4 linked regions of the Nothobranchius furzeri genome follow. The protein of the gene in region 2 binds, or shares a complex with, the protein of the main gene of each other region. Links are inferred from orthologs where the notes say so. Each region holds a gene or a part of one and is shown on either strand. Other genes may lie near its edges.

Region 1 (6,090 bases), on a different chromosome or scaffold from region 2:
ATACACTTTCAAAAATTCAATGAAAACTACATTTAATTTATCAAAACTTTGACTTCAGACATATTTAAACAAATATTTACATTAGGAAGAAAAGGGATTTTGCAGCCTTGCACTTGCTGAATGTAAGGCTGCCAGCAAGCCTGAACCTGCTGACACTGGCACGCTGTGGATGCAGCACAATTTGAGAAGCATTCATCTGAACCGACTACTACAAACAACAGTTGTTGTTTTTTTAAATATAAAAACAAACAAAAAATGATCAGGAACATTATTAAGTTTTTGTTGCATTTCTGAAAGGACTTCCTTTTGTAGGAAACTTCACTAACTGGCATAATGAACTGAACTCAACGGTTAACTTTGTGAAGTGCAATGAGAGGACTCAGCGTGACCTGGTGCTATATAAATACACAGAATTTTATTTACTAGAACAACCACGAAGACCAACCTGTTTCTTTCGGGCTTGGTCTTTGATCAGTTTCCAACGAACATCTGATTTCTTCTCATTCTGGAAGTCCTGCTGTAACTCTTTTTTTACATGTACAGAACAAATTAAGGCCTCATAATTATCACTGCTTTTTAAAAATCATATCAATTCAGCTGGTTTTCATATTCAGGAAATTACTGAGCAAGCACGTTAGAGAAAGGATATCATCAGGAACTAGAGCCAGGACTTTGTCTACAGACTCTTTGCGGGCCAGTATGTCCTGATCCTGCAGCGCGTATTGAGGGAAGAAGTGCTCCACCACTGCCAAAGACTCTCTGGTGGGATTAGACACAGCTGAAGCCACAAACAGAAGCAGCAATGACAAAAACAACAGTCAAACGTATATTTACCTGATAAAGGGGTGAATTGGATCTGTCAGCACTACTTTCTTCACAGTATCTTCACCACCCTAAAAGGTTACATTTAGAAATCACATCTGGACATACAACTGTACTGTATGTTAGTCAGAAACCAATAAATAAGCAGCTTTTAGTTATGGGAGCAGCTGTTAAGTGGCTTTGAATTTGAACTTTAAAGGGGTTCTAGATAAAAGTAATTTTTTTAACGATTGGAAACTATTATTTGAGCCTTAATATATCCCATGAAACTTTGTTGGGGCTCAGGAACCCAGAAAAATTGACCAACGCACCCCAATAGCTTTATTTCTTGAAGCAAGTAAGTCTGTGACCTGTGTGTGAGTGTGTGTGTGTGTGTTACTATCAGTGCAGACAAACGAGTAAAGAAGTGAGTGTTTTCCAAAGAGAGATTCAAATGGGTTGAGGAGCAGGTTTTGCAGATAAACAAGCAGGAGAACAAGGACTGCAAGATGTGGATCGATCTGCCTATCTGTCTGTGTGTGTGTGTGTGTGTGTGTGTGGCTGTACTCTGTTAGACCAGATTGCAGGCTATGGATTAATCTAGCATTCATTCATTCACAATCTGGATACTCCCATTATATCCTGGAATGTGATTGGTGCTCCAACATTCTTCTTTGTTAAACCAAAACAATACGCAAGTGGACCAAACTGAAACGGTTCAACACCGCCCCGTGAACCATCACACCCCTAATCATGACCAATGATTAGGTTGGGACCTGCAGATTTTAGGGTGTGTGTCGTGCTAATGACGTGTTAAACCAGCTTTTCTCCAAACGAACCATTTCTCTGTGGCCGTTACAGCATTATTAATTTACATAGGAAAGCAGGTCAGCAACAGCACAGACATTTTGGTATGCTACACTAGACACCCCCAAGCTGCCTTTATCCAACAACAACAACCAGATAAATGTGGTTTTAAATTCTAGGACTGCTTAAAAGACTTAAATAATCTTGGAGTTTTGCTTTAAAATCACCTAATACCGGTAAAACCATTGCTACCTTGATCAGGCTGAGATATTCAGCCACAGCAGAGCGTGCTGCAGCAGAGAGCTTCCGGGCAGCTTCATCACACACCCAACAATGAACTCCCCTTCTGCCAGAATAAACCCACAGCAGGTGCTGAAAGCCAAAGTCCTCTGGGAGAAACATAAAAAATGTCAATCTGATTTGATTCAAAATAAACACATGCCTGACATAAGACCAGGGACACACCTCTGAGCGCTCTGTCCAAGATGCGGATAGCAATGGTCATCAGCGTCCAGCACTTGGTGCAAATGTCTGCAGCACTGGATCGAAGTTTGAAAAGGTCATTTTGGTAGATTGTCCTCCAGAACACTCTGAACAGGCTCAGAACTAGAAATAATCACCTGCAGCAGCTTCGGACATCATCATAATCTGTCATATCAATATCAAACACAAGTTCCTTCTCTAGAGCTTGGAAGCTGCCGGACTTCACCGTGTTGTGTTGATTAGGCTGTTGATGACAAACAGTGACTTTACTACACTTACACGATAGTAAACATGATTTGATCCAGAATAAAGTCTTACCCTGTGACTGTACACTGCTCCAATATCAATCTTATAAGGGTTCATCTTCTGCATTTCCTTCTCCAGCTCGTTCAGCGTGCTGAAAGACTGGTAGCGCACGTAGATGTCATCTTTGAGCGTGAAGCAGAACTCTCGGTTTTGGAAGTAGTTCTTCTGCACTGAGAATGTGGGAAAATGGACAAATAAACACTGTATGTGTTTATTTCATAAAGGCAATCAAGCAAAATCTGTCTCTTTTCTAATGAGTGACAAACTTTTGTTTAAATATCACATATAAAATAATCGCTGTAAAGTTTCATTACTAATAAAATCAACGTCTTCCAGAAAAATTTTACTTAATCTTATCTGAATTTATCAGTGCAATAAAATACGGTGACGTTTAACTACCCAGGCTTTATTGTTGTTTTTTTCAGGTCTTCATCAACTCTTGAATACTGGGAACAAGCTGCTTTCCTTAAATAAATTAGCAGCTGTCTTACTAAAGTGAATCCTTGTTTAAACGTAACATAAGTCAAACGCTCTGAAAAGCTCTGTAACAGTTGTAAATACATCTCAAATGTTACACAGGGGGAAGCAAACGTAAAATCCACAAACCCTGAAGTTCAGCATAGAAGGCTAGCTAGCCTAATTACATATATAGCTAGTTAAATCACAGAAGACAAGCTAACAGCCCGGTCTGACGCTTGCTCGTGGTTCTGGTCTGTTTGTGAAGTTACCTCCTCCGTAGGTAAGCCAGCGGTAATACTGGTAGAAGGGGAACAGTCGTCGGTAGTACAGCGGTAATAAGTCCGGCAGACAAGCGGAGTCGTAGTCTGAAGATGGCATTATAATGTAGTAAAGCCAAGCTAATGTGCAGCTAGGTATATGTTACTGCTGCTCTTCAGTCAAGCTGACAGCTTGGTTAGCTAAGGACAGCGCGGGAAAACTCGAAAGAAACAGTGATGACAAACAACTGCGACAACTACGTCACAAATAACAGGAAGTACCATGAAAACGTTTTATTTATTTTCCTAAACTAAAATAACATTACAGAGTTCAACTTGAATGGAACTCAAGGTTTTCTGTGAATAAAGTAAGACTATAAAGCGTTAAGTTTTTGGCCCTGGGTTGACTTTGGAATGGAGATGTCCAGTATATTTATGTCGATGGTAGGGTTTGCTTCTTTTGATTCGCCGGGCGGAAGTCAAAACGAGCGGGGAGGAAGTTGTATTTGTGATCAACTGAGAGGGGAAACTTCGCTAATAGAAACAGATGCAATATAAAACAATATTAACATCTCAAATAGCTTGCATGAATGTTTGACCAATGTGGCCTTTTCTATTTTTAACATTCGAGGTATTTATTGCTACTAGACTCCGCCCGCATGGAAGCGCGGCTAAAACCACCAGGAATTAAATGGTGCGAACTATGAAACCGCACCAACCTGTGATTTCAAAATAAACTTTTTGAGTCAAATTTGTGACATACGAAATTATATCTTTAGGATAAATCTGTTTTCATCACTGGTAATGCCATACTTGAATTACTGTGTGGAAGTTTGGGGAAACACATACCTGAGTAATCTACAATCACTATCCATGCTGCAAAAAATGTGTAAAGGTAAATCAAGAGCTACAAAAAACATCTACTGGATCATTATGTTGATGAGCTGGGTTAAATAGAATTATACAAGAAGTTGATTGTTGAGTATGTTTAATCTATTTGTTCTCTGTATTTTTGTTATTTTTATATAGATCCATCCATCCATTTTCTGAACCTGCTTGTCCATGCAGGGTTGCGAATGGGGGGGTGGGGGCTGGTGCCTATCTCCAGCGGTCAACGGGCAATCAGGCGGGGTATATCCTTGACAGAGAGCCAGTCCATCGCAGGGCAACACAGAGACACACAAGACAAACAATCACACACACACACACACACACACACACACACACACACACACACACACACACACACACACACACACACACACACACACACCTAGGGACAATTTAGACAGACCAATCAACCTAACAGTCGTGTTTTTGAACTGTGGGAGGAAGCTGGAGTACCTGAAGAGAACCCATGCATGCACAGGGAGAACATGCCAACTCCATGCAGAAAGTTCCCAGGCCGGGAAGCGAACCCAGGACCTTCTTGCTGCAAGGCAAAAGCTCTAACGACTGTGCCGCTGCGCAGCCTTTTTATATAGATATGTTTCATTCATTTTTCATTTATAGGCACCAGAATGCATTACCTGCACTTCTAATATTTACCTCTCAACGTAGGACTCTTTCATAAGGGTACATGCACACCGGTGGTTTTAACGGTTATTCATGGGGCAAAATCTCCGACATTTTTGAAAAAAAAAAATCCATCTGCCAGTAAAGCAAAGCATCCAACCCACCTCTCCAAATGCGTAAAATGTGCATCACAGCCGCTAGATGCGCCGCACGCACCATCAGGTAGGTCAGCCCAGACAGCAGAGCAAATAGAGAAAGAATAGAGGATAAGTCTGATGTGGATAGAGATTACATTTTACAGCAGCCTGATCATCATTTAAATACCATCACCTGTCTTCTAGTCCATGCTATCAGCGTTATTTAATTGGTGTGTGTGCGTGCGTGTGTGTGTTTTCCACTTCAAACACTGGTCTAACCAACCAGACCAGTGTGTCCAGTAACATATTAATGTTACAATTAAACCGTTACACTTCATGTAGGCTAGGAACATTTCACCTGCCGTGGCCCGACCGCTTCTGCTCCACATAAACTTTGTGCGTGATCAAATGTCTCTACAGGTGCTTTCTGAGCTGAAGAGGCTATTCTGCCTCAGACTGGATGTGTCGTGCATCTCCATATTAGAGACGGGAACAAGCACTATTCAGCCAAAGTTTCATAATCAGTGAACATTTTTCCAAGTGACACATCCCTCAGAGAGACCGGGTTTCCAGACCGTTTCAGTGGGAGGAAATCTTACCGCATCGCTGTGGTTCTGCGCTGCGAACCCCTCTACAGATCTTCAGCTCACTGTCCACCGTGTGCGCTCCGATCCGCGCTGAGCACAGTGTCCAGTATAAAGCTCTGATGTTCTGATGGGAATCTTTTCTTGATGGATTTAGTTACCTCCGCGATGTGTGTAACGATTAAAATGTCAGCTCATCAGTGTGCATCGGGGTAATTCTTTCAAAACAACCAACATCCTTGAGTTTATCTGTCAAAATAAACAGTCAAATGGAAATATCTATAACCCTGCCATTTAACTGTTTTGCCTTCTTGTGAAGATTGTTGCAAAGAGAAACAATTAAACTTGATTAAACCCAGAGCCGTGAGCACTGCGCTGTACTTCCTGACTGTAAATGAGGGGGAAACGATTTAATCGGATCCTTTTCTTATCAACATGGTTTAGTGTAAAGTTTCATTCAGTACAAACTTTAGTTACACCAGTTTAACGAAACAGAGCCTGGATTTGTATTCTGAACAGTTTAAACATGTTTAAAACGGAGACATGCGTGACGCGTCTAAAATTTGCACCTGCTCCGCTATTACGGAAATTAAACTAACAAGATGAATAACATGAACTTATTTTAGGCACAGACAACATCCCCCACACTTTTGAAAATCTTGCAACGCGCCTCGCTGGAACCGGTTCCAATCGATGCTCAATGCTCGATGCCCAACCCTATAATCATGACATTACACTCTG
Region 2 (6,076 bases):
CAACACATACTGAACTGTTAGCTCATAGTTTTTAGTGACTAGTAGAACTTTCTTTTCTTTTCTTTTTTTTTTATCATTAAAGAAACATACAGCTGACCAAATTAAAACTGATGGAGGTTGTCATGGTTTTCTTAGTTCATAGACTAAAAATTTACACTTTTGTCTATGTTTTCTGTAGCGTTACTCCTCTGTTCATATTCCTACAGAGTCAAGAGGAAGAGTAGAGTTGCCATGGGAGACCAGCCACCTCTGACCTTTGACGTGACTTGTTCTGCACAGTCAGTAGTTTGTAGTTTTGTATCAGTTCAATTGAGAATATGTGAAACGTGCTTCACATACAGTATGTTAAGTGTAGTTTTCTTTAAAGGCCTCCATGGGCTGTGAAAGAGCGCTGGTGTCACGGTGGACATCCTGTCAGAGGAGGTAGGTTGGCTCTCAGCATTCCACCACCAGCTATGGATCAAGGCGTGTTCGGGGACCTCAGAGTCCAGTTTGTTACACTCCTGAGGCCCTGCGTGCTGCAGTACCCCAACCTGCCTACAGAGCTGACCCACATACAAATATCCTTCTTCACGATGTCATCATAACTCTGTTATGCTCTCTCTGTGGGAATGAGTGGTGGAAAAGGTCAGAAGAGGCTGTTTCAGCTTTTCTTTTTCTTTCTATATTTGTCGTTCAGCTGCTTTAATGACGCGGGGACTTCCCATATGCTGGTCTGTGTCTTAGGACACCAGGGACAAGAGTGGACACCTCACAGCCTAAGGCCGTGTCTCTTTGCTCGAAATAGGGTGAAGAGCTCCCTTCGGATTCAGTCATGTGGTTGTTGATTCACACATAAACCAAAATAACTTTCAAAGAAAGACGACAAATGTTTGTTTTTACATTAAAATAAGGGTTTGCTTTAATTCTATTATATTGCTACTAATTTACATTTATATCTACGGAGATCAACTGAAGTAGGAGTTGTTACATTTATAGGATTACCAAGCTTATAAAAAAGCATAAAGATGTTTGTTTTTTCTAGTTTGTACCAATGTGTGAGGTCTTGATAAATATGTCTGCGTCTTGTTTTGGCCAGAGTACTGCACACGTTCTATGCAGCACCTCGGTTTTAGGGGTGGATGATTAGCTCCACCCTTCCTGCTCTTTTGTGGGTGTGCCTTAATCAAGAAAAGGCCTACGGTTTTGAGCCAAACATAAATTTAGTCAAACGTTACACTTCATAACCCTAAAACCAGATTATTACAGCCAGACAGCATCTCGGCTCCAAAATAACACAATTTAATTCCTTCCTGGTTAAAAAAAACTTTTTGTTTGAAATGGTTTATGAACGTGTTATGACTCACCTAGTAGATCAGTTTAGTTAGAAAAATACAGAAAATTATGGGCATCTCCAGCCAATCATAATCATTCATAAGGCTCCATAACCAGAGGAGTCACTCCTGTTCCTTTAGGTTTTTATAGGCTTTCATTATGAAACTAAAATACAATAGTTCTTTATTGTCATTACACCCGAAGGCTCACTCCTTCCTACATTGAACGACTCATGATTGTTGTCTTTTCTTGTGTGTTGTATGTACAGTCTATGGTGTTGTCGCAGCAAAGCTAAAAACAAAAGGGTTCACACTTCAGACAGTAAAGTAAAATCTGCATAACTTGACTGTGCTGCAGGGAGGGGACAGAGCAGAGGAGGCATGATCATTTTGCTGTGAGGTGAAGATTTGATGAATTTCTTTTTTTGCAAGTTAAAACTGCTCACCGGATTAAAAATATGACTTTGATAATCCCAGAGAGAAATGATAAGATGGATGAGATACTTAAAAACCTATAGAGGCTTAAACACAGAGGCAGGGTTGCATTCTGGCTTTTTTGTGGTATTAATAATAAAATATCTCAAGGAGAAATAGGTTTTTTTTTAACCATTTCTTTGATCCTCTAATATTTTTAATATAAGGAAAGCTCTTTATTTATCACCCATCTTACTTTCCTCAGCACGAGTGACCAACAACCAGATTAGTCAGTCAAGGATATGAGAGTTTAAAAACACAGACTAATGCTGAAGGGTGCAGATCTCTAATGAGACCTCCCGGTAGGTCTGCTGCTTCTCTTCTGCGATTGAGCCGATTTATCCTCCTGATCTGAATTATTGGTCCTTGACCTGACGTGTCTTCAGGTGCTGGTGTACAGCCCCAGTAATGTCCCTGTGCCGGCTCCGTTCCACTTCTTCAGCAGCCTTCCTGCTGCGCTGGACTGTCAGCAGCTGGGTCTGGGCAGAATCCACTGCTCCTCATATAAAGGTAAACAACAACCACTGCTGGGAACAGCGTGTTCTGATGGCCCAGATGCATCGTGGGTCTTTGTAGCTAGAGGGCTTGGTCTTCTAATGAAAATGTGGAAATTGGAAAAGTTGGACGTTCAGGATAATTAATGCTATCTTGTAAAAACACATTTTGAAGTAATCAAAACACATATTTGGGTCTGAGTTTGGATTCCACTCAGAATGTTTATGTGTAAGAAAACATGTACAGGACTCAAGCTGCAGTTAAAAAAATGATTCCCATGAGCGTGTAGTTAAACTAAAAGGAAAAAGTAAAGAATGTAGAAAAGTATTTAAAACACAGACACAAGGAGAGGATGAACGATAGGCTTTCTTCTTGTTTTTAGCAAGCACATGAAATTTACTGCCTTTGAAATGGTCGTCTTGGCTCAGAAGACTTGTGTGTTACATCTGTAGCGAGTTCCCACCATGGCTGGAGCATGTGATCACATCCCTTCAGTTGACACTGTTGTTTTGGGAGGAGCAGTGTTTCCTTTGGCTCTGTGGTAATGTCAGTGGATCTACATCATCATCACCACCATAAAAACGCTGGAATGATGATGTTTAGCATGACGGATGCTCTCTTAGTTCAGATTTGTGGTCATTTGTGGAGCTAAATAACAATTCAGAGGAAATTAAAGTTATTTCAAACCACATCAAGGGTGGGAAAGCTTGATGTCAAACGACGGTCATCCGGAATGGTGATCCGAAACAGGTTTGGCTCAGTGAAACATCATCTAAGAGATAATTAAACACAGTGTGTTTATGGAAAAGGGGGAAATACAGTTAGGAATGTCGCATAAAAGTGTATTATAATGAGGCTAAATGCAATTTATTAGGATCACTTTAAACCCAACAAGAAATATATTCAGTCAGGAAATCTTATCAACAAATATCTGTTTTTACATCATGCTGGCCTCATATTTAACTCATGTGTTTAGCCTTTGTTGTGCCTGTCAGCCCAGTGAACATTATTATAAATTCACTGTTAACTTCCTCACAGGGTTTCTCGTTTATTATACAAACAAATATACAGGAATTAATTTTGTGGGAGTTTAGAAACAACTCTTAAATCTATCGTTCTTATCTCGCAAATGAAAGAGGTTTTTTTTATTTTTTTATTTTTTACATAAGGGTTAAAAGGTAATAATAATCTAAATTAAATAATTATAAAGAAAAAATAATAAACATTATGCTGAAATCTGGAGTTTTCCTCTTTCGGTGTGATTAAATTATTTATGATTTTTTTAGAAATACATAAATGTGATTTTCTTACTGTGATATAATGTAGGTTATTAGTTGTTTTTTTTTTTTTTTTGGTTTGCTAAGCCCACCCCTGTCCCCTAGAGCTCATTGCTATATGAACCGAGTGCCAGTCAGCACTCACCAATAGCATTAGGCTGCCATTTACCCAGACGTTAATCACATAGCGTTCTCGGGCGTTTATTTGCGTACCTCGGTTGATGCAGAGTTGGTGACCTTTCTCTTGGACAAGTTAACATATAAATATATGAAAACACAACATAATGTGAACATAATAATTGTAAACAATGTGTTTTAGCTCTGTTTTGTCATTTTTTTGTCAGCTAGAAGAGCACGTTCAGTAACAGGAGGCGTTGCTTTTGGCTGTAAGTACGGAAGTGAAAACCACAGCTTGGTGCGATACATTTGTCAGCCACTAGATGGTGCCGTCAGATCAAAAAATAATGTGGATTTCATCTTTAAAGTCCCTTTAGTTGTCACACACACTGGTGTGCGGTGAAATTTGTTCTCCGCATTTGACACATCCATGGGGGAGCAGGAAGCTGCAAACACTCAAGAACAATTTCAGTAAGTTGCAGGGACTAATATGTTCTCCACCAAGTTTATTATTTCTTACTCTCAAGTTCCAAAAAATGCAAAACATTTTGGACGTTTTTTCAACATGACAACAAAGAAGGGTTATATTCACAGGGACCTCACTTCTCTACATTTTTACGTAGATTTTCTGTGAATCACAACCACGATCAAACTGACACGTCTGCACGATTCGCAGTGTTTGTTTCTCCAAACCGAACCCCGACTGCTGCTGTGTGATTTATCTTACATTATAAACTGAAGTCTGGTCTGAAAAGAGACGTAACTTTACACCCCCCAATTAATCTCAGGTCTCAGATTAAGAGCAATTACATCAAATGATGGGTAATTTGCCCAACCCAGAGATGAGTCTGCCATTGCGTTAGAGGTTAATACATGTGTAGGAAACCCTATGGATGTTCCATCAAACAGTATTTGGGTTTGTTTATTTAAATGTCCCGTAAAATATTAAAAATCATTATTATTTAAATGTTTCTGTATCTCATGCAGATCTTGTGCACAGTGGTGTTGTGTTCACTGTGGAACAAGAACACTGGGACGACCCAGTGCATGAATCAGCACACGTCCCGGTGCAACAGAGCCTCCAACTCTTCCTCTTCTTGCAGCACGATGACCCCTTCATCTCTGAGGTCACTGATTTTATTGGTGAGACATCACAACAGCATTGTGTAACCATGACACACCAGACAGATGAAAGGCTGTTCAGCTCCATTAATTGTATATTTATAGAGATAAGGGCTTCTTAAGGCAGATAGTATTAGTGGTAAGGGCTGTGCTGTTGACGTTTTTTTAAGTTTTTTACACCTGTTTCCAAATCTCTCTCCTTTAAAGGATTTGATTTTGATTTTAGTTCAACTCAGAATCTTTATTAAACTATGGAGACTGTGCAACAAGAAACAAACATGGATACAAAAATGTCATTTTCACTGAAGCTGTCTCTTCTTCTAGCTGCAGAGATGTTAATAGAGCACCACCTGGAGGATATTCTGAGCAACAACAGGCAGGCCATCACAGCAGCTGTTCAGACTGAACTCTGCAACTGCCTGAAAGCACAAAATCGCAGAAAAAAGGCAAGATTAACACGCGATTAGTGTTTTTGCTTTTATATTTCAGCTATCTAGTTGTAATTATACGTATCATGTTTGGATTTGGAGAGGCAAAACAACAATATGGGCTTATGGAAACAAATGTTTAACTCTTTTTATATAAGAAATTTGTTTTGCTTTACTATTTGAAGACATCATTGTAAATAATAATAGAAATAGAAATAGAAATGGCAGATGGATAAAACAGCAGCTTGTGTTGTGTAATGCTTTAAGCGACAAGAGACGCTGAAATCGGCTGCAGCAGTGATTCTCAGCTCCACCATCAGTATTGTGAGCAGCAGCAGTAACACGGACTTCAGGAACACATGTTTGAACAGCATGAAGGTATGTAGGGGTTAAATATTGTTGCTTTTAAGCTTAATATATTACCTTTACTGAGGAAGCATAATTTAAACTTTAGTAAACTCAAAGATAAAAAATACAGATGAACTAACAGGGATTAAAACTCTGTTTTACCCCAAAACTCTTCGTATAAAAAACAACTATACCTGCGTTTCTAGAGCTCAGGCTAATAGCAAACTGGCACCAAAATTCATGTTTGACAGCGGCAAAATTATTAATATGATTAATCAACACAGCCTTGATCTGTCACAAACATTCACTAGCACTAGTCCAACAGGGCCTTTTGTAGGGCTAGCCCTAAAACATACAATCTCTTAAAACGTGCTTTTTTATAATTGAACCATGATGGGCTGCATAAAAAGGACAGCAACGAGCATTGAACAAGGTCTGCTTCACAGGATCATTACATGAATTTAAACGTGTTTGCTTTCACACACAACTTACTACTCTGTCA
Region 3 (6,069 bases), on a different chromosome or scaffold from region 2:
ATCACTACAAGTGAAGAATCTGGGCGTTATTTTTTACTCTGAGCTGACTTTTATCCCCCACATTAAAAACATCACAAAAATAGGTTTTTACCATCTTAAGAATATCGCCAGAGTCCGCCCCATTCTCTCTCGGGCCAATACGGAGACGCTAGTGCATGCTTTTATAACCAATGGAATTGATTACTGCAATGCGCTGCTTTCTGGTCTCCCCAAAAAGAGCATCTCAGGTTTACAACTTTTACAAAACTCAGCAGCACGTGTCCTGATGAAGACTAGGAAGCGGGAGCACATCACTCCGGTTTTAAAATCACTGCACTGGCTCCCCGTATGTTTTAGGATCGATTTTAAGGTTCTTTTAATGTTTTTTTAAGTGTCTTAATGGTCTCGGGCCTTCTTATCTTTCAGAAATGCTTTTACTATATAAACCCTTGCGGTCTCTGCGCTCCTCTGGCAGCCGTCTCCTAATTATTCCTAAAGTTAAGACTCACACCCACTGCGAGGCGTCCTTCAAGTACTACGGCCCTCGCCTTTGGAATGGGCTGCCGGAGGACCTCAGGGCCGAAGGGAACGTCCAGGCTTTTAAGAATAGGCTCAAGACCCACCTTTTTAGCTTAGCTTTTAACTGATTACTATTTATCTACCTGTATCACCTGTCATATTTGTTTTTTTTATATATATACCTATTTATCTCTTTTAATTAATTTTATTATTTTATTTACATCTTGGTGTTATTACATGATTATGTTTTCTTTTACCATCTTTATAATCACTTTATCAGTTACTTTCTATCCATATTAGCTTTTGTTATTTTACAGTTATATATTTTAATCCTCCAGTGTTTCCTCTGCGGAGCCCTCTGCCTTGGGGCCGGTGGTCAGCGGCGGCGGCCGGGGCGCTCCTCGGGTAGTGCCTGGGTAGTGGGGGGGGGGGTTTCCGCCCTCCCCCCCTGGCGTCATGGGCGGGTGTCTTGGCTGCTGCTGTGGATCTGTTACTGTTAGGGCAGATGGCTCCACTGATGATGTGTCGTTCATTACCTGACCCATCTGAAGTCAGCCTATTGTTTACTCTGTTGTTCGTGTGTGTGTGTGCGTGTTCGAGTGTCTGGGTGATTGTATGTTCACCTTGGAAGTGGAAGTTGGGTGCGGGAGGGGAACCGTAATTGTCAATTGTTTTATACTTGGGGAGGGGGGCTGGGATGGGAATATGGGATCTATGGGGTCATTTTAATCTGTGAAGCACTTTGAGTTGCATTTTTTGCATGAAAAGTGCTATACAAATAAAGTTGATTTGATTTGATATAATTTATTCTTGTGCTGCTGGTGCAAAAATTTTAAAAGTGACACAAAAAACATTTTTGCACTTAATTTTTTTTATGTTTTAAAGCAGAATCCTGGAGTTTTTTTTTCCTGAGAGAGCACCTCTTGTGGCAGAAAAATTATCAAAAAATAATTGACAGATTGCCTACAGGGTAAGACTAGCCTGGCAAGCCATCCCATATATGTGAAAATTGAGTCTGGCCACAACCCATTGAGAGAGCTCAGTCATGGGGGAATCTACGGTCATCTGTCTCTGCACGCTATTGGGCAACAAACAATGTGACATACTCACCGCTCTGGATGCCAGTCAACGAGGCAATCCACCATACACTGTCGGAGAAGATGAAGATACATCATTTTTCTAAATAAAAGACTTAAGTACCTCCATTTGCTGTTGACTCAAAGAAAAGCCAAAGTCTAAATAGTCCAAAGTCGATACTAAAGCTGTTTCAAATAAGCTCCCACTGCCTTAGTTGTTTCGCTCTGTTGCATCATCCCGCCCATCAAACTAAGAGAGTGCTGTAATTGGCCCACCAACCTTTTTTTTTTTTTTTTTTTTTTTTTTTTTTTTTTACCGTGTCCTGTCTGGCTGTGAAGCAAGCAGAATTGATGTCTGAATGCTGGTGACAAGCCTTACAGATTTATTCTCAGGTGGAGCATCAAAGCGTTTGCTTTTAATGTCATGCCTGATACTTAAAACTTTATTGTTATTGTTGTTGAATGCTTTGTAATTCCGACCAGACACGGAGACAGAGGTGAAAGAGAAAGGAAAAGAAAAGGTGGTGGGGGGGGGTTTCCACAAAAATAAACAATAATGAACAAGAGTCTGCTTCTAGACCTGCAGAAAAAAAGACAAAAAAAAACAAAGGGACACAAAAAAAAGGGACACAACAACAATACAACAAGATCAACCTATCACTGCGTCAACTTGATGAAAAGAATATATATATATATATAATCAACATTGCTTAACTGAAGAATCACGATAATAAATCACAACGCATTAAGTGCCCACCATAGTCTTAAGACCTGTGTTTAACGTGCCCAAGCCCATACTTTTGAGAGCACCATGTGAGCACCTGTGTGTGTACACGCGCTTGTTTATTGAAGGTTTATCTATAGGAGCGTCCAACAGAGAGTGTGAGGGACCACAGATCCGCCCCCCAAAGATGCGCAGGAGACGGGGGGAGCTCCAAGTCCCAGAGATCCAGGCGCTGCCCCAGAACGCAGGAACCCCAAGGAGACTGCAACCAGGAAGGCCCCCGCCCCCCTCGAGAGGCACAGAGGATCGCCCCGGGGGGCCACAACCAGCAGCCGGCAGAGTCCCGGGAGACATCAGCGGCAAGCCCACAGGCCCGCCCGCAGCCTCCCACCCCCTAGCCGGCCGAGCCCGGGACCCAGCGACCCGGGACCCAGGGGCGACCACCCCCGCCGGGGACCCAGCAGGCCCAGGGACCCAGACCCCACCAGGCAGCCACCGGGATCTAACAGGCAGATGCCAAAATCTTAAACCCCCAGACCCGGTTGCCACGAACACTCAGGCAGACCAAGGCACAAGCCACCACACCAGGTGTGGCAGGGGGAGGGGGGACAGAGATCTATATCATCAAGAGAAGTTCCAGGAGAGGGGAGGACCCAAAGGCCCCACCTGACATATACAGTCATACACAAACACAGTCACACGCTCCCTCCCTCATGCTCACACATGCACATACAACCCAAGACTTACAAAAATGCACGCCGGACACCCACTCATGCTCCCCATACACACCCTATTCACTCTGGTCCCGGTACTGCTGCACATTGGGTACAACCATCACCGGTAACCAGAGTTTGACCCTTTCTGCTGGGGTGCTGATGAGCAGGCTCCCCCGCCCAACGCTGAGCACAGCAACCCACCACCCCAGACCCCAACCAGACGGCCAGATCTCCCTCCTAGCCTCCAGCCCCAGGAAGCCAAGCAACAACAGAGGTGGCTAAGACCCCTAGTCTCCCTCCGCCTGCTCCAATATAGTGTTGTGTGATCATGAGGTGTATTCCATGGCTGTGGTGAGTGGGCAGTGCGGGCATCATCCAGCATATGCCAGCTGATGCCACTGCACCACCCCAAACTAATAGAGCACTGTGATTGGCTCATCAAACCAATAGAGTGCTGTCATTGGTCCACCAAACTGATAGAATGCTCCTATTGGTCCACCAAACCAATAGAGCGCTGTGATTTGTCCACTAAACTAATAGAGTGCTGTGATTGGCCCATCAAACCAATAGAGCGCTGTGATTGGCCCACCAAACCAATAGAGCGCTGTGAATGGCATATCACAATATCCCTCAGGCTTTATGGATCTCTAAAAGACCATACATAATTCCTTAAAGTAGGAAAACTGGATTGCTGCTCTAAGCTGACACCCTGACACACTTTTATTGGTGATAACTGAGTTCCATTTTTATTTTCTGAGCGATGATTTCCTCTCTTGGGCTTTTAGATATATGATGACTTAGCCTTTCTAATGCGGCTGTGACAGTCTGAGCCTGAAGTAATCACTAAACCGTTTTTCATCGTCAGCAATGAGGGTGATGTTTAATGATGGTTTTATGAAAGGTGACATTACGACGAATCAGTCAATCAACATGCCACCTCTCTGACAACCCGCCGTTATTATCCTCTTTTGACCTTTCTCATTTCTCTGTGCAGGTGGAGGACACGCCTTTCTCGCTCAGTCACCCCAACCAGTACTTCTCAGAAAGCCAGAAGCTTCTGGGTGGAGGAGGAGGGGGAAAGGAGCTGAAGCGAGAGGTGGATGCTTCACAGAGGTCGCAGGAAAACTCTTCCAGCAGAGGGTTCTCGGCAGCTCAGGAGGCAGCAGACTCCGAGCATGAAGCTGAGATGACGAAAGACCTGAACGCTTTCTTTGAAGACGTCTGATGTTTTTGTTTAAATATATAAATGTACCAGAGTTTGTGCATGTTTAGAAATCGGCAAAATTAGATGAAAACTGTTGGCGACATGTTGGAATAAAGTCATTAATATTCATCTCACCAGCGTCCTTAAAATAACACTTTGTTTTGTTCCTTTGCTGTGTGAACTCTGGTGGCCTGTCCTCAGTCTTGGCAGGGATTTTTTAATGGGGGTGGGATGGCTTGTGTGGGGGTGTTATTGAGTTGAGAATTCCCCTGCCGTCTCAGAAACAGTGTCATTGTATTTGCTGGCAGCAGTGTGGATGAATGGCGACAGGAGGATGGATGAAAAAATAAACTATTTCCACAGTTGTATTACTCTGCCTTGGAATATTGCCTCATGGTGCGCAGGGCAATTTATTCAAAGCATGCGTGGTCAAGAGATACTCCCTCCCTCCTCTCTTGAGCTTGTCTGCTTAATAATTTGCAGGAGAAAAATAAATGATGGCTGTCTAAAAGTAGAAAAGCCTTTATACTGCTGTGATGCTGCTGCAGCAAGAGCTAATACAGGATTTTTAGTAGATCTGTAAAGTTGATCCTTTTTTTCTTAGAAATAAAATTTTGATGAATAAATGAAATGTATTGTTGCTGCTGTTTGAACCAACATTGGGGCATTAGAGCTGCACATATCTAGAATTAAATCCATGACCGGTGCTTGACGTGGAGGATTTATTCAGTATAATAAGGTGACTGGATAACAGTTTGGAGTCAGGCAGGTTGCTGTCAGCAAGAGACTCTTGATGTCTAATATCTGGTAGAGCATGACTACGTTTGACACAGCTGGCCTCATTCTGAGACTGTTTATCTTCTTCAGGTGGTTCCTACAATCATTATTCATCAACCTGCTTGCATATTTTGAGCATCATCTGTGTGCAGGTTTGTGTTTTCCTTCTGAAATCTACAAAATGACACATGGTAGGTGGTGACACTGGTTTAAAGGTGTGAAACACTGAAAAAAAAAAGTTTAATGATTATTTCTGAATATAATTTTGTCACTTGAGTTTTTCATGCAGGCTAAACATGAAGATGGTCTACACCTGTCTCCTGCATTAGCTAGGATTTGAAAAGCCTGACAGATTTACATCACACTGTCACTAAAACATTCATAGGCTCGCCCGTCTTAACCCAGGGTGGGGACAGCTTTTTGTCGTTGGAAACTCAGAAACTGTGACTTCCGAGTGGGAAAAATCAACTAAAGAGCCCCCCAAATTTGGACCTCCCATTCAGACAGTTGGAAAAATTTTAAAATCCTGACCACAACATCCAGTATGGCAGCTCTCCGTATCAACAAGTTTCAGTTGAAATGTGTTAATTTAACAGGACACACTTATAAAAGTGCCTTTAAAATCAATGTTACATGTAGCGCTTGCAACTCTAAGCTGCAGATGAGCAGCATATGTGTTAAGTAGTCATTTGTTTTTGCAGATAGCTGACTAAACAGTTTTCAGAGGGGTCGCCACATTGAAATCCTGACTTCTCCAACGAAGGTAACCAGAATGCGGTTAAATCGAGTGTGAAGTCATTCCCAGTTCTGGGTAGACATCTGAGGAAAATCAAACACGCCATTAGCGTCCAGGATACAGCAGAGAACATCTCGGCTGGTAGAAGCTAACCGTTAGCATTAGCCACTCCACCACACAGCAGAACCACTCCCGGCTTGAGTTATTTGTGGAGATAAAACATCCGTGTCACAGAGCAAACAGCCGTAGAGTTGCATTGCTGTTATCCAATCTGAGGCGAGATGTTTGAAAATTAGGAAATAAGACTCCAAATCCTGCTGTGTTAAGCTCACTTATGA
Region 4 (5,412 bases), on a different chromosome or scaffold from region 2:
CGTGACTCGATTAAAAATTTTAATCTAATTAATTAGAGGCTTTGTAATTAATTAATATAAATTAATCACATTTTTAGAGTGTTTCTGTTTTAACTTAAACTTCTATTTTCAACTTTAAGACACGTTGTTTGTGATAGTTTACAGAGTAGTGAGAACACGGAGCGTTCTCCCAGCGGCAGCCAGGTGCCTCTCGTTTGTCTGATTACTTTCATAAACTACTGTTAGGGCACAGAATTATTCTGTCTGGTGCTTTCAGCGCTGCACAGATGTTACGTAAATGTTTAAAATACAGCTTACCGCAACTTTTGTAAAGTTTCCGGTGCCACCAGGCAGCTGCAGCAGAGACGATCTCTAAAAAATGTCCGTGACACGGACTCCGTTGTTGTCAGGAAGTTTTTTTTCCCCCAAGTTAAGAAAAGAGGCGGACGGGTTTCCTAAATCCTGCATCAGTCCAAGCAAGGCAACTTCTTTCTGTTTTTATTCCGTTTCAGTAGCCATTAGCACTGTGCATTGTTGTGTGCGTCAGTGATATTCGGTCTACGAGGAAATTGTGCAATGACAAAGGTTCCACCTCGCTCGAAATGCAAGCTGTGATTAAATGCGTTAATTTTATTCTAATTAATCATAATTAATGCGTTAAAGTCCCGGCCCTAGTTTTTATTGTTCACTTGTGTATTTTATGTAACTTATTATTTTACGTTCGTGTAGGTGAACAGCTTATTAATGGAGCGTAGAATTTAGTTTAAAACAGGCTTTGATGCCACTGCGAACCTTCCCCTCCAATCATGGATGTTACCATCAGGCGGGACCTATAGGGATGTGTATTGGTGAAATTCTGGCGATACGATACTTATCACGATACAGGGGAGATGATAGGATATACTGCGATACATTCAGCCAGACGATATTAGTGATTTAATAAAGAGTACAAACGGATGCATAACATGTTTAACATGGGGTATCTGAACCATAACAGAGGGATTTACATTACATTTCACAGTGAAAACAAAACCCATTGCACTCTGCTGCCAACTAGCGGTCGGCATTTAAATTGCACCAAAAGAAAAGAAAATACACAAATGTAAATGTGTAAGTTCTTCCAAAAATTCGATACACGGCTTTTGAAAATCAATACAGTACTGCAGAAGAAAATATTGCGATATATTGCATCATCAATATTTCCTTACATCCCTAGGGACCTACAACACTGCATGTGTCCCTGTCAAATGAGTCGATACACATCTCCACCTACCTCTCTGCCTTTGTGTGTGACCAGAGCAGCGAGCGGTTTGGCGTAGAAGCGGCTGTAGCTGAACCCCAGACAGCCGTACATGCTGTTAGCCGTTAGCTTCAGGGCCTTCTGACGGATGTCATACTGAGAAAACGAGAATCCTTTACTTTTGCATCTCTTGGAGGAATGAACTGTGTGTGTGTGTGTGTGTGTGTGTGTGTGTGTGTGTGTGTGTGTGTGTGTGTGTGTGTGTGTGTGTGTGTGTACCTGCTCCTGCATGTAGGGTCCACACAAAAATCTCAGAAGACGTAGTCCACACAACCCCCTAAAAACATGTGTGTGTGTGTGTGTGTGTGTGTGTGTGTGTGTGTGTGTGTGTGTGTGTGTGTGTGTGTGTGTGTGTGTGTGTGTGTGTGTGTGTGTGTGTGTGTGTACCTGCATGTAGAGATCCGTATTGACGTCCTGCTGTCTCATCAGCTGCTTCACCTGCTTACGTCGTTCCACCAGCTTCCTGATCTCTCTGGGCAGAATTCCCATTTCCAGGTCGGGATCTGGAACCTCAGGAATCTCCTCTGGATCGTCCTCCTATAACCATGGATACTAGGGTTAGCCTCTAAAAGCCCAGGTGCATTAGCCGTAGGTTGGGTCCCGCGTACCTCATTCTTCCTGCGGGAGCCGAGAGCCTCTCGCTGCACGGTGGTGAAGCAGATGTTGAACTCCTGGATGATGGAGGGGTACAAGCTGTTGAAGTCCAGCAGCAACACAAACTTATCGTAGAACCCTACGGAGACAGGAGAAGGAAGGTTTAAAGTGAAAACGGGTCATGAAGAAGTGAAACATTTCACAGACAAATGGGCCTCACCAACTTTAGGATCCAGGACCAGACCGCCGGCGTAAGCCGCCTTCTTCTTCCTCTTTCCTTTTCCTGCATCCGCATCATCGTCCCCCTCAGCCTGGAAGACAGACAACAGCAAACAACGATTAACGGAAGAAGCTAAAACAAAGTTTGCCTGTTTGTTGCAGCACCCTCACAGTCTCCAGCTGAGCTTTTCTGAAGGACGGCTTGTCGGGGACGATGTAGTTTTTGTCGTGGAACGCGTGAAGCAGCAGGAACTCGTTCCTCTCCGAGCGGCCGCCCATCAGAGTACGAGACTGAAAAGAGACCGTGGAAAGGAAGTCAGAGACGGAGACAGCTGCTGAGGGCAGCAGAAGCGGGACTTTGTGGTTACCATGACGTTTCCGGCGATGTTGGTGATCTGCAGGGCGAGAGGAAGCACGTTGAGCTCACACATGATCTGCAGGATCAGCTTGGCGTCGGTCCACGTCAACTCCAACAGGTACAGCAGGTGGGGAGAGTCGCTGAATGACACACAGATCTATGATCCACACGGGTAAAGGTCTTTTTTATCACTTTGATCCAATAAGCTTTACTCACCTGTAGAGGTTCCTGATGGCCTCCTGGGGGACCGTGGACCTCTCCACCTTCAGCACCTGCGCCGCGAGCTCAGTCAGGTGGTAGCTCTTACAGCGAATCAGCTCTTTGGCTGAGATCTCCACGTCGCACACCAGACGGCCGCAGGTCGCACTCTTCTCTGCAAAGGCGCCACGACCCTGCAAACAAAAAACAGTCTAGCTAGCTGCTGCGTGAGCGGAAAAACACTTTTCTAGTCCCGATGACGTTTGTTTACGTCCTCACCCCTAATTTGGGCATATTGGCCCTCCGGAGACGGCCGATTTTGGACCAGTGGGGAACCTTGCACATGTTGATCCTCTGCAACAGAACCTCCAAGTCAAATCCAAAGATGTCATGACCCTACAAGAGAAAAAAAACCAACAAAAAGGGTTAAATGTGATTTTTAAACAGGAGAATCTCAGCTTTCCGGCTTCTGGTTTCATCCGGAGTGTTTCTGACTCACCACCAGCACATCAGGGTCGATCTTATGCATCTTGGCGAGGAAGAAGCCGAGCAGAGCTCGCTCTGTTCCCGCTATCTCCACCTTCCCGTTCTAGCAGAGAGGAGGCACAAAAACATAAATCAACTTTTGCCGTTTCTTTACTCATCTTTAACAACAAAAACTAGACAGAGGTGCACGACTGGAACAAATCTGTGCACCTAATCAGCCAATCGAAGCTCATTTTGCATTTACTTTGTCTCAAACAGACAAACTAGGACGTCTCACCTTCTTCCTTACTGCCTCGTTAAAGTCGTAGGGAAAGATGCAGTCAGCTGGTTTACTGATCACTGAGGGAACAGGTTTTATTTAGACATTAATGAGTTCACTGCACATCTTATTTTGAAAAGCACATCAATAATAACCAAGATTTCCCCCTTTATAGCATAAAAATGACAATTCTAATGACTCACCACAGAAATGAGTCTGATGCGGAGGCTGAGGAGGAGCTTTATCCATGTGGAACTGATAATGAATGAGTGCAGCTAAAGACACGATCTGCGGAGGGTTAGGGTGCGTGAGCGACAACATTCAAACCAAACGAGAAAATTACGCGTCCGCCGTGGCGTTCTGACCTCGTTGTGGTGCGTTCTGGGGTTCTGAACCGTCTTCAGGCTGATGGACATGACGGTGAGAGGCGGAGGCGGCAGGTCTTTGATCACAGAGACTAAATCACTCCTCAGAGCGAGGGCCTCCACCTTACACCAGCTGGCCGGCTGGCTCGTCAGCTCTAATGCAAACGGGGTGGAGGTGCTGGATTAGGAAGACTCTGCATCGGAGAGGAAAAACTAAATATCTTTACATTTTGGCTTACGTGGTGTTTTGATGTCCAACCAGCAAGGGCCTTTGATCTTCCTGCTGAGAAGAAAATGCTCCAGGCTGGAAGTGTTTGTCCCGAAAATGTGGGAGAATGTCGCCCCCTTGAGGTCAGGGGGCAGAGCGGGGTGTTCAGCCTGGAAAAACACAAAATATAAAAGATATTAGTGTGTGTGTGTGTGTGTGTGTGTGTGTGTGTGTGTGTGTGTGTGTGTGTGTGTGTGTGTGTGTGTGTGCGCGCTCACAGAGTATCTGATCTCCAGGTAATCACACTGACTGGGCACATCAGGAATTTCAAAGGCGTAGTTTTTCTGCACCGGCTGAAAAAATAAACAACACATCAGATCAAAACACGACGCCATTTTTTCTTCTCTCATCGTCTGTAAATGAAACGACCTCTGACCTTGGACTTGAACTTCATGATCTTAAACTTCTCTAAGAGCTCACTGAACTCCTGGTAGACCTCCATCATCCCTACAGGCGTGTCCGACACCTTTCCGCTCTTTGGGTCCGTTTTCTGTAGTTTGATTAATGGAGCATGAGGTAAGAATGACATCTTGTGGTGAAACGTGGGTACTGCAGCCCATGTTTATAAACAAACTAGCTCGCCGATGAGTAGATATACATTTCACTGTAATATCAAGTCGCTGGTAAATGAAAAAAGTAGCTAGTTAGCATTGTTAGCTCAATGTTAGCCTCTAGCCCTCTACAGTAAAAATGGTGGCACTTGTGATCGGCAGCCTCGCCTCTTGTCAGCGTGCCCCAGGCTAGCTGTGGCTACAACGTAGCTCATCCCCCACCAGCGTGTAACTGTGTGAATGACTGATTGTGTTGTGAAGCGCCTTGGGGGGTTGTGGAACCCTAAGAAGGCGCTATACGAATACTGGTTATTTGGGTTAGGGTTACCACAAAACAGACAGATGCCGTGGATCTGGTTTCTCTACGGTCTGAGAGAACGGCACTCACAAATTCACGAGGCAGAAGGTACATGATGCGTTCGATGTTCTTGACAGTGACGCAGCAGCTGACGTGACTCTTTGCCGACTCGATCCAGACTTTCCCAAACAGGTACACCACACCTGGAACAGAGTTTAGGCCAAACACGCACCTGATTAGAGCGTTAAACTACAACAGGGGTTGTTTTAACTGCAGCTGTCATGAAGCCACACCTGCTTGGTTGTACGGGTCTTCAAACGCATCCAACCAGTAAAAGCGGAAGACCTGCTCCCCGTCGGAGCCCTCCACCATGGGGAGCTGGCTGGAGTCCACCTGCACCTCCACAGGAGCTGAACTCTCCTCTTGACCCCAAGAGACTCCAACTCTGTTGGACCTACAAAATCAAAACGATGCTTGAATCTGTCTGAATCAAACATTTTACAAACTTATCTGACAAACTCAAATAAACACATCTGC

The links.
Region 1: pola2 (region 2) and prim1 share a complex: the UniProt entries of both Homo sapiens proteins name them as parts of the alpha DNA polymerase complex. The link is inferred for Nothobranchius furzeri from reciprocal best matches to the Homo sapiens genes POLA2 and PRIM1.
Region 3: pola2 (region 2) and prim2 share a complex: the UniProt entries of both Homo sapiens proteins name them as parts of the alpha DNA polymerase complex. The link is inferred for Nothobranchius furzeri from reciprocal best matches to the Homo sapiens genes POLA2 and PRIM2.
Region 4: the proteins of pola2 (region 2) and pola1 are in contact, whole or in part, in a cryo-EM structure (PDB 8G99), measured with the Xenopus laevis proteins. The link is inferred for Nothobranchius furzeri from reciprocal best matches to the Homo sapiens genes POLA2 and POLA1. Residues at the interface, in XP_018112289.1 of Xenopus laevis: Met280, Tyr281, Lys282, Phe283, Met284, Phe285, Gln286, Lys287, Leu288, Met289, Ile291, Arg292, Val295, Ser296, Ile299, Glu314, Thr316, Leu320, Pro321, Gln323, Glu324, Thr325, Val326, Gln331, Gly333, Cys334, Asp335, Ser336, Asn337, Gly338; in NP_001082055.1 of Xenopus laevis: Gln548, Lys551, His553, Gln554, Asn555, Phe642, Glu645, Val646, Gln649, Asn652, Leu673, Gly675, Arg676, Phe679, Lys1137, Asp1141, Pro1143, Asp1144, Ile1321, Gln1322, His1324, Asn1325, Lys1326, Leu1328, Leu1329, Arg1332, Ile1335, Lys1336, Tyr1338, Tyr1339.

The regions. Positions count from the first base shown.
Region 1 is NC_091755.1:56,470,890-56,476,979, reverse strand, and holds the start of prim1 (DNA primase small subunit), read right to left. Parts: upstream 3,358-6,090; 5' UTR 3,235-3,357; coding exon 3,126-3,234; intron 2,568-3,125; coding exon 2,410-2,567; intron 2,336-2,409; coding exon 2,229-2,335; intron 2,148-2,228; coding exon 2,074-2,147; intron 1,998-2,073; coding exon 1,861-1,997; intron 894-1,860; coding exon 835-893; intron 760-834; coding exon 650-759; intron 538-649; coding exon 446-537; intron 1-445. UniProt on the Homo sapiens protein: Catalytic subunit of the DNA primase complex and component of the DNA polymerase alpha complex (also known as the alpha DNA polymerase-primase complex - primosome/replisome) which play an essential role in the initiation of DNA synthesis.
Region 2 is NC_091741.1:88,848,790-88,854,865, reverse strand, and holds the start of pola2 (DNA polymerase alpha subunit B), read left to right. Parts: upstream 1-2,007; 5' UTR 2,008-2,297; intron 2,298-4,663; 5' UTR 4,664-4,819; intron 4,820-5,122; 5' UTR 5,123-5,244; intron 5,245-5,493; 5' UTR 5,494-5,604; intron 5,605-6,076. Other genes in the region: top6bl (type 2 DNA topoisomerase 6 subunit B-like), read left to right, coding at 207-278, 368-587. UniProt on the Homo sapiens protein: Accessory subunit of the DNA polymerase alpha complex (also known as the alpha DNA polymerase-primase complex) which plays an essential role in the initiation of DNA synthesis.
Region 3 is NC_091752.1:19,570,745-19,576,813, reverse strand, and holds the end of prim2 (DNA primase large subunit), read left to right. Parts: intron 1-4,008; coding exon 4,009-4,239; 3' UTR 4,240-4,352; downstream 4,353-6,069. UniProt on the Homo sapiens protein: Regulatory subunit of the DNA primase complex and component of the DNA polymerase alpha complex (also known as the alpha DNA polymerase-primase complex) which play an essential role in the initiation of DNA synthesis.
Region 4 is NC_091747.1:54,885,681-54,891,092, forward strand, and holds part of pola1 (DNA polymerase alpha catalytic subunit), read right to left. Parts: intron 5,330-5,412; coding exon 5,169-5,329; intron 5,079-5,168; coding exon 4,966-5,078; intron 4,517-4,965; coding exon 4,403-4,516; intron 4,320-4,402; coding exon 4,245-4,319; intron 4,137-4,244; coding exon 3,998-4,136; intron 3,914-3,997; coding exon 3,759-3,913; intron 3,682-3,758; coding exon 3,597-3,681; intron 3,474-3,596; coding exon 3,412-3,473; intron 3,238-3,411; coding exon 3,148-3,237; intron 3,045-3,147; coding exon 2,928-3,044; intron 2,843-2,927; coding exon 2,667-2,842; intron 2,591-2,666; coding exon 2,461-2,590; intron 2,384-2,460; coding exon 2,264-2,383; intron 2,185-2,263; coding exon 2,094-2,184; intron 2,013-2,093; coding exon 1,888-2,012; intron 1,817-1,887; coding exon 1,667-1,816; intron 1,376-1,666; coding exon 1,253-1,375; intron 1-1,252. UniProt on the Homo sapiens protein: Catalytic subunit of the DNA polymerase alpha complex (also known as the alpha DNA polymerase-primase complex) which plays an essential role in the initiation of DNA synthesis.